Linked DNA regions of Neurospora crassa OR74A. Each later gene encodes a partner of the first gene's protein in a complex. Links are inferred from orthologs where the notes say so. Each region holds a gene or a part of one and is shown on either strand. Other genes may lie near its edges.

Region 1 (3,769 bases):
GCTTTTTGACCGGCGGGAGCGGGGGACAGCGTCCAAGTTGAATCGTCGAGGAGGATCGGGTGGGGGAGGTCGCCCTGGTTTTGTGGGAGGTGTCAGAATCGAGCTACTCGGCATGCGACATTGGGTGGTATGGTATAGGCGGCGTTGGAAAGTTGCAAGGGTTGTGATTTGTAGATATGTGGGCAAGTAGGTTGGTTACCTTGATGACGGGCTCTTGACCCTTAATACCAGCCGTAAGAGACTGCTTCTTTATCTCAACCACCATATCTTTGCCCTTTAGGTTACCAGGGACGAGGATGGTGATGTCGACGTCGCCAATCGTCTGAGTCCACTTGTAGGGGAGAGCCTCCTGCTCGGCTTGTTCCTTGGCGCGGGCAGCGGCCTCCTCGGCGGGGGTGAGCTCTGTTACGTCTGACATTGTTTGGTCAGTTGACTAGTGGGACCTGTTGATGGCGGATGGACTTTCTGGTCTTGGGAGCAAGAGGAGTTGAGCTCTAAAACGCACCTTTGTCAGCCATGTTGAAGGTGGTATTGTTGAATTCGGTGTAGATATTGGGCAACGACGGCAGCTTGGTGCAGTGGTGCAGTGGTGCAATGTGCGGTAATGTAAGTAGAAGACGATGGAACGCGCCTGAACGCGATGACCGAATTTCTGGAGGGGCAGGTAACCCGCATGGAACGGCTGCGGCCGCCCAATCCCAATCCTAGGAGCTGCCCGCGAGCGGCTGCTGTCACTGCCCTGGTAGCCCCTGCTCACCCCACGCTTGCCCGCGTCCAGTCCCCTGAGACAGAGCTGCCAGATGAGCGCGGCAGAGTGCCGTGCTGTGAATGATCTGGGAAGCCCCACCCTGCACCGCCAGGGTAGCGTCCATTGGAGCGCTGGCGCGGTTGGGGGCCAAGTGGAAACAAGGATTATTCAGCCCAAGCATAATAACTCTTATCAGTCCCTCTTTCACCACATCGTCAATCTCACTCGGGTTTCACCCAGACTTCCACTTGGTTGATTTTCATCACCTTCCCTATCCACCGTTGATACATGACTGCGTGACCCGGAATTTCTGCCTAGCCGAGCTGGCATTTTAGAACAACATTTCATCACCTAACAAGACGAGTACAAGTCCTCGTCGCCAAATCACGATCACCAAACAGATATAAAAGAAGATTTGGGCCGCGATCGCCACTCACTCACCGACACATCAAGAGACGTCCCGAGTTCTCAGATACGGACTACTGTCCCTTCGAAGGGAAACGCCCACTCCTCGCTATAATTCAGCATACATTTCTCTTGGCCATCATTTAACCTTTGGAAATCCCACTTCAGCACATCGATCCCCGTCTCCTCGAAGCGAAATTATCAAAACAACCCCCCCCCCCCCCCCCCCCCCCCCAAAAAAAAAAGAAACCACCCACCATGGCGCGCCCTCTCGACCCCCTCGGCTTCGAAGACGAAATGTGCCCCGTCTGCAAATCGCGCAAGTACCTCAACCCCGACATCGTCTTCGTCTTCAACCCCGAATGCTACCACTCCATGTGTCTCAACTGTGCCAACCGACTCTTCAACGACGGACCCAATCAATGTCCGCACGCCGGCTGCAACAAAACGCTCCGTCGCAAGGGCTTCCGCTCGGCTTTTTTCGGCGACTTGGCCGTCGAGCGCGAGGTCGACATCCGCCGTCGCGTGGCGGCGGTGTTCAACCAAGTCGAGGACGACTTTGAGACGCTCCAGGATTATAATAATTACTTGCAGATGGTGGAAGATTTGACGTTTGAACTTGTCAATGGGACGGATGAGAGGAGACGGCAGGCGGAGGCGCAATTGCAGGCATGGGAGGCGGAGCATAGGGCGGATATTGAACGGAATAAGAAGGCGGGGAGGGAGGCGGATGAGATTTCAAGAGTGAGGCTGGCAGCCGAAAGGGATGCTGTCAGGCAGAGGAGGATTGAGGCTATCAAGGAGGCGGAGGCGGAGAAAAGAGAGAGGGTGAGGAGTCGCGAAATGGAGCTGGATAACCTGGCCAAGGGAACCACTGCTATGACAGCGGAGCCGGCGACGAAGGTACAGCTAAAGAGGCGTGGGCAGGTGAATCGGGTTGCTGAAACAGCTTCCAACCCTGCCATCGCAACAACGGGAATGGGCACGGGCGCGTCGGAGGTTGAGCGTTTGTCCATCCGCGGCTTGAAGGAGAAGCCGAAGGCGCCGGCGCCACAGGGCCCGTACGACCCCTTTGGAGGCATGGACTTCGCGCCTAGTCGGTACAAGCTACATGGAGGCTTGAGTCACCCGCTTATGGAGAAGTACCGGTTGGACAGACAGCACGTTGCTGGTGGGTACAGCTTTGACGACTTTGCGGCGCGCGCCTTGTATGAAGCGTTTGCTGGGTTGGGTGTGTTTGTTGAGGATGAGAAGGAGGTCGGCAGTGGTATTGGGCTGTCACAAGAGACGAGCATGGCGGCGGGGATCGCCGCTGTGGTTGACGCGGATAAGATGGATTTGGACTGAGAGTGGTTCTGGACCGGTATGCCCCGGCCTTTTGGTTGGCGGTAATGGTGTTTTTGTTGCATAGCGACGGCGTTCACTCAGCGATTGAATATTTTTCTTTTTCCTCTCCGACGGATCTGGATTTAGGAACACACATGAGGCGGGACCAGCATCATATAGATCAACTTCAGACTCGGTGGTTTTAGAGGGCGCAAATATTCGGGTCTGCTGTGGATTTCTGGGTTCGAAATTCATTATGCGAATGGTCGCAGTCCAGCAGCCACATAAGACAGAACTTGGCGAACTGCAGTACATTCACTACTCTTTGCCACCCATCAAGCCATCTGTCTACTTGTAAGGAGTATCAAGGTCACTGAAGACCACGTTTTGTGTGAGGGATTGGGACGACGATGATGATGGAGAAAAGAAGAAGAAAAAGAAATTCAGACTAATAAGAGTGCGTCGATTGATCACAAAAATGCCCAAAAAAATATATAGATTAAGATTTACCAAACAAAAAGAGCCTCCAGGCTTCCCTACTGCAAAAATGTGTATGCCTCCCTTGCTGGCCATTCCTGGAGAGAGTGTTGGCAGCCAATCCTGAAAGTTTTGATGGTATGACCATTTATCATACCATACCTCTTTCACTCCTTTATCTCGAGATGCCCGGACCCCATTCCACCGTTTTTATGTAGCGTTCCATTCCAACTATTCTTCCCCCCTCCCCCTTGCGCTGCGCTGCTAAGCCTTGTATCTGGCCCTGCTCGTTAAGAAGCACTCGACGGCGGAAAAAAAAGCCTGATCTCTTCACAGTCAATCCTTGACTGCCTTATTGCCACCCATTTCGAAGGTACGAGCATCAAACCGCCCTGCTTACCCGAACATTGGCTGTCCTTTCGGTAGACTAAGGAGGGGCACCGTCAGAAGACTCGCGGCAACAATACCGAAAGATCAGGATTGCCGAATCGAATAACGAAGGCGGGTGAGAAAAAAGAGCTGAGCTCAAAAAATACAAAATAAAAGAAAATAAAACAAAAAGCAAAAGGAACGCCGCGCTAGATGCGTGACTTGCCGGTTCGTGTCATCCCGAACAAACCAGACAAGCCATAAGGAAGACAAGAGAATGACAGAAATGCGGGGCAGTGTGCCTGTCAACGACATACGCTTGGCCGTATAGCCCTTGAAATCCAAGATCAAGAGAGCTAAGCGTTACGCGGCTGTCAGAGGAGACATCCGCTCATCATTGCTGCCATGGCGTTTGCTGTGCTGGCCTCGGAAACACCGGGATTG
Region 2 (4,153 bases), on another chromosome or scaffold:
GCAGGACGCGGTGCTCGCGATACCGCATGCCCAGGCGCTGGTACTCCCAGCAGATGAAGATGGCACTGATGACGTACCCGGCAATGAACAGCAGCAGGAAAATATCGTGCAGCCGGGGGTATCGCGCCGTGTCAAAGATGCTCAGCAGGATCAGGCCGCAGGTGCCGACGATGGCAAACACAATGGTTATGCCCGAAAGAACCTTTTCCGTCACGGTGGTGTTGGGCACCAGGCGGCCCTTGTGGCGGAGCCAGCGGTCGGCGCCGAAGGAGAGGTCCAGGAAGACGGTGGTTACGGAACAGCCGGCGATGAAGAGGGGCTTCAAGGTGGAGGCGCCAACGTCGGAGATGTAGGCTATGGTTTGCCGCGCGTCCATGGAGGCATAGTGACGTCGGTTTTCGTCGGTGCACCAGTAGATGAGCAGGCCGAGGAGGGTGCCGAGCCAGACTACGCCGGAGATTATTGGAAAAATCTGGAAAAGGGGCATTGTGTTAGCTTAGCTTGGGGGAATGGGAATGAGAATGGGAAGAAGGAAAGGATGGATGGGGGGTGAAGGTGAAGGTTTACCCAATATGATAGTATCCCTCGCAACATCTTGACTGAGTTTGTTATTCTGTCTGATGTCTAGGTGGTTTGGTGTACAGAATATGATGTAACACGGGTTCTGTGCGCCCGCAGCTTCGCTAGTACACTAGGTGTAGATGCACGAGCAGAGATGCAGGAACAAGGAACGAGCGTGTAGGAGTTTGGACGAAGCACGTCCCGTCGTTACGAAGTGTATATGGTCGTAACTAAGAGACCTGAAAATCGTAGTCGTAGTAAAGAATACCCAAGGGTTGAGATGCTGACAATGGAAGCTTAAAGAATGTTGGAAGCTCGGTTGTCTCGGCAGCCACAGTCGACTGTTTGGGTGCTAGGTATGTATGTACCACGCTTTGTTGCTTGCGTGTCCAAGGTCGAGTGGAAGTTCGTTAACAACAAACTACAAGAAGTTCTGGATTGACACAAGGAAAAAAGAAAGTCAAAAGGGGAGTAAGTAGGACGAGATGAGATGGACTGCGCACAAGGGGGACCTTAAAGGGTTATCCCGGAGTTATGTTTCTGGAGTCTATTGTAATCTAGACACGCTATGATGCTTACTCTCGCGGATTACTTCCTTGTCTCTGCCATGGCATGGGTTTCGTTTTCATCATTGTTCTTTATTTTTTTCTAATCCTAGCCCAACGGATGATCTCCGGCTTGTGCCCGGCGCGCGGACTGATGTCGACGCCCGTCCACGAGGAGGAAGAAGCCTTCACACTGCCACTTTGGTTGGGTGAGAAGTGACGTCAGGGTCCAGGCGCCTGCTCATCCCTGTGGAGCACTGAGACTTTCGGGGTTTAGCGTGTCTCTTGCTGGTCTATCCTTACGGCTACAGGGGTCTTTGCTTGTTAGTGCTTACCTAAACGAGTTTGACGGTGTGACGGTGTCATCGGCGGGCTGGGCTGGGCAGGGCATCCGTCGCGCGGCACCGCGGCAGAGGTTCCCTTGATGGTGATATGCATATATATCATGATAAGATATCCAAGTTGATATGTGAAGAAACACTGCGGATGTTTTGATACCTTCTACCCTCAAAGACAGATGTCTTTTTATATATGTCGGGATGACTGAGAAACAAAAATGGAAATCGCTCTAGTCTCCAAACACCAGCGGGCAGCAGCGGACCCACAAGACATACGGGGATCCGGGCCTCCACTGGTTGACAGGGCCCTTCCACCGAACTCCATCCATCACAGCGCATCCATCTGCCAAAGCTTAATCCCACTCTCTCTTCCCTTATCCTCCGTCCTTATCTTAACTCCGTCTATGCAACGCTGCCTCTACGAAGCTGCCCAACACCATCAACAACAATAACAAAACAACAACTGAACAGCCACCGGTCGTTGATCTGCCGTTGACGCCCGACCTTCTCTTCCCATCGAGCCCGTCTTTTCCCCGCGATCTCTGGACTAAGTAGGTAATCGACTGTTTTGGCATCACTTTACACCGTCCGCCCGAGGGTTGAAGCACCCGAGAGAACCAGCCAGCAACATGGCGAACTCCCCTCTTGTTGCGCGTCCGACCGATGCGCTCCAGCCACCGAAATCCCTTCCGCCATCCAGCGGCGGCACCCCAAGCGGGGGACTTCCACGGTCGGCCCGGGGCCAGCAGATCGCCGCCTTAGCCCGCCCGACTATGGATCTGATGGAACAGATGAACGAAGACGAGAAGAACAAATACATCAAGGGTGCGTTGTACTCGGTCATACCAACTCTTCCAGTGGGAGTTTATCGAACTAACACATATTATCGTGCGCAACAGGCAAGAAACTCGGTGAAGGTACCTACGCCAACGTCTACCTCGGCCACTCCCGTCTCGACTCCTCAACACAAGTCGCCATCAAAAAGATCAAAGTCCAAAAGGAATACCAAGATGGCATCGCGCCCGACGCCATCCGCGAAATGAAGTACCTGCAAAAGCTTCGGGGCCACGCCAACATCATCATCTTACATTCCGTCTTTTCATCCAAGGACCAGAACCTCAACCTCGTCCTTGAATACCTTCCCCTCGGCGACCTCGAGATGCTCATCCGCGACGTTGACCACGTCCGCTACGGCGCCGCCGACATCAAAGCCTGGATGGGCATGCTGACTCGCGCCATCTGGTGGTGTCACGACAATTACGTGCTGCACCGCGATATCAAGCCCAACAACTTGCTGATCGCCGCCGACGGCGAAGTCAAACTGGCGGATTTTGGTCTAGCACGGAGCTTTGCCGACCCCGGCGTGCGAATGACGGCGAACGTGATCACCAGATGGTACCGTCCTCCCGAGCTGCTGTTCGGCGCCCGCCACTATTCGGGTGCCGTGGACATTTGGTCGGTGGGTCTGGTGTTTGCCGAGCTCATCATTCGTGCCCCTTACCTGCCTGGTAACTCGGAGGTTGAACAGATCGCCTTGATCTGCAGGGAAATCGGCACGCCGACGGAGGAGAACTGGCCTGGTGTTACGCAGCTGAAGGAGTATACGGTTCCCAGCGACGTGGTGCCCGTGGCGGGCAAGGACAAGTACATGGGTCGGTTTGGCGCAGTCGGGTCCGATGGCGTGGATCTGTTGACCAAGACGCTGGTTTTGGATCCAAGGAGGCGTATCACGGCGAGGGAGATGCTGGAGCATAGGTGGTGGAAGGCAGATCCCAAGCCGACGCCTAAGCATGACCTGCCGAAGAAGACGGCAGGGGCCGAGGAGAAGTTGGCGGCGGATTTGAAGAGACGGAATGGTATGGTGGAGGACGACGATGTGCGCGGCTCCAAGGTCGCTAGGAAGTTGGACTTTGGCACCGCGAGGTGAGGAGGCTATGGACGAGGGTTACAACTGAAGTATGATGACAAGCATTTCTGGAGAAGGCATGATCTACTTATGAAACGGATACACTGGGTTGGAAAGGTCACATACAGTATGCATGCACGGCATTGACAATATAGAGCAAGAGAAAGGCGTTTGGGCGCATCACACATATCATCAGTCCATAGACATCAAATCGGTTTTGAATCACATCTACGGGAGAGTCTCCTGACATGTAGCTCGTAAAGCGGAAAATGTGTATGTGATGCTTTGTCATTGATTGATATAACCCTCATATCCTATTTTCTCTAGGTACTTTTATTTTTATCATGCTCTTTAATCCAAAAAAAAGTAAAGATGCTCGCTATTCGTTAAATCTTCTTCCTCCACACTCTTTCTCCTATTACCAAGGAACACCCTTCGATGGTCCCTCCCTACAACCTCACATTACCAAACACTCCAGCCCATACATAGCCCTCTCCACCTCCTTCCTCACATTATACCAATCCGCCCTTCGTTCCGCATACTCGTACACCTCCTCGGCTCTAAACACGCCACTAAACCGCTCGTTATCCGCAATAATGGTCGCCATTTCTTTGGCATGATGCTTAGCATCAATCAGGTAAATCTGACTCAACTCCCTCAGCGCTTTGAAATATGCTAGCAGGTCTTGGTTTTTCAAGGTGCGGATGTACTCGTAGTAGAGATTCACGTCGGCAATGAGCTTGATGGCGCCCTCGGTCGAGATGCGCTGGCGCTTGAGGTGCTTGCATACGGCGGTAAAGAGA

The links.
Region 2: the proteins of NCU02587 (region 1) and prk-3 are in contact, whole or in part, in a cryo-EM structure (PDB 6XI8), measured with the Saccharomyces cerevisiae proteins. The link is inferred for Neurospora crassa OR74A from reciprocal best matches to the Saccharomyces cerevisiae genes TFB3 and KIN28. Residues at the interface, in NP_010748.3 of Saccharomyces cerevisiae: Phe260, Asn261, Gly262, Asp263, Glu265, Ala266, His267, Ile282, Leu285, Lys289, Glu290, Phe291, Ile292, Ala293, Ser294, Gly295, Phe296, Asn297, Tyr300, Glu303, Arg304, Thr307, Glu308; in NP_010175.1 of Saccharomyces cerevisiae: Leu111, Arg115, Tyr118, Arg122, Phe124, Ile154, Pro155, Ala156, Pro157, His158, Ala179, His181, Tyr182, Thr183, Ser184, Trp229, Glu231, Ser234, Phe235, Pro275, Gln276, Val282, Leu285, Phe290, Lys291.

The regions. Positions count from the first base shown.
Region 1 is NC_026501.1:2,824,947-2,828,715, reverse strand, and holds NCU02587 (RNA polymerase II transcription factor B subunit 3), read left to right. Parts: upstream 1-1,411; coding exon 1,412-2,500; 3' UTR 2,501-3,022; downstream 3,023-3,769. Other genes in the region: NCU02588 (nuclear movement protein nudC, variant 1), read right to left, coding at 1-74, 200-411, 506-518; NCU02586 (ENTH domain-containing protein), read right to left, coding at 3,720-3,769. UniProt on the Saccharomyces cerevisiae protein: Acts as a component of the general transcription and DNA repair factor IIH (TFIIH or factor B), which is essential for both basal and activated transcription, and is involved in nucleotide excision repair (NER) of damaged DNA.
Region 2 is NC_026505.1:1,999,033-2,003,185, reverse strand, and holds prk-3 (serine/threonine-protein kinase), read left to right. Parts: upstream 1-1,574; 5' UTR 1,575-2,073; coding exon 2,074-2,269; intron 2,270-2,343; coding exon 2,344-3,371; 3' UTR 3,372-3,577; downstream 3,578-4,153. Other genes in the region: NCU03660 (FK506 suppressor Sfk1), read right to left, coding at 1-472, 568-594; NCU03658 (secretion pathway protein Sls2/Rcy1), read right to left, coding at 3,808-4,153. UniProt on the Saccharomyces cerevisiae protein: Catalytic component of the TFIIK complex (KIN28-CCL1 dimer) which is the protein kinase component of transcription factor IIH (TFIIH) and phosphorylates the C-terminal domain of RNA polymerase II during transition from transcription to elongation after preinitiation complex (PIC) formation, thereby positively regulating transcription.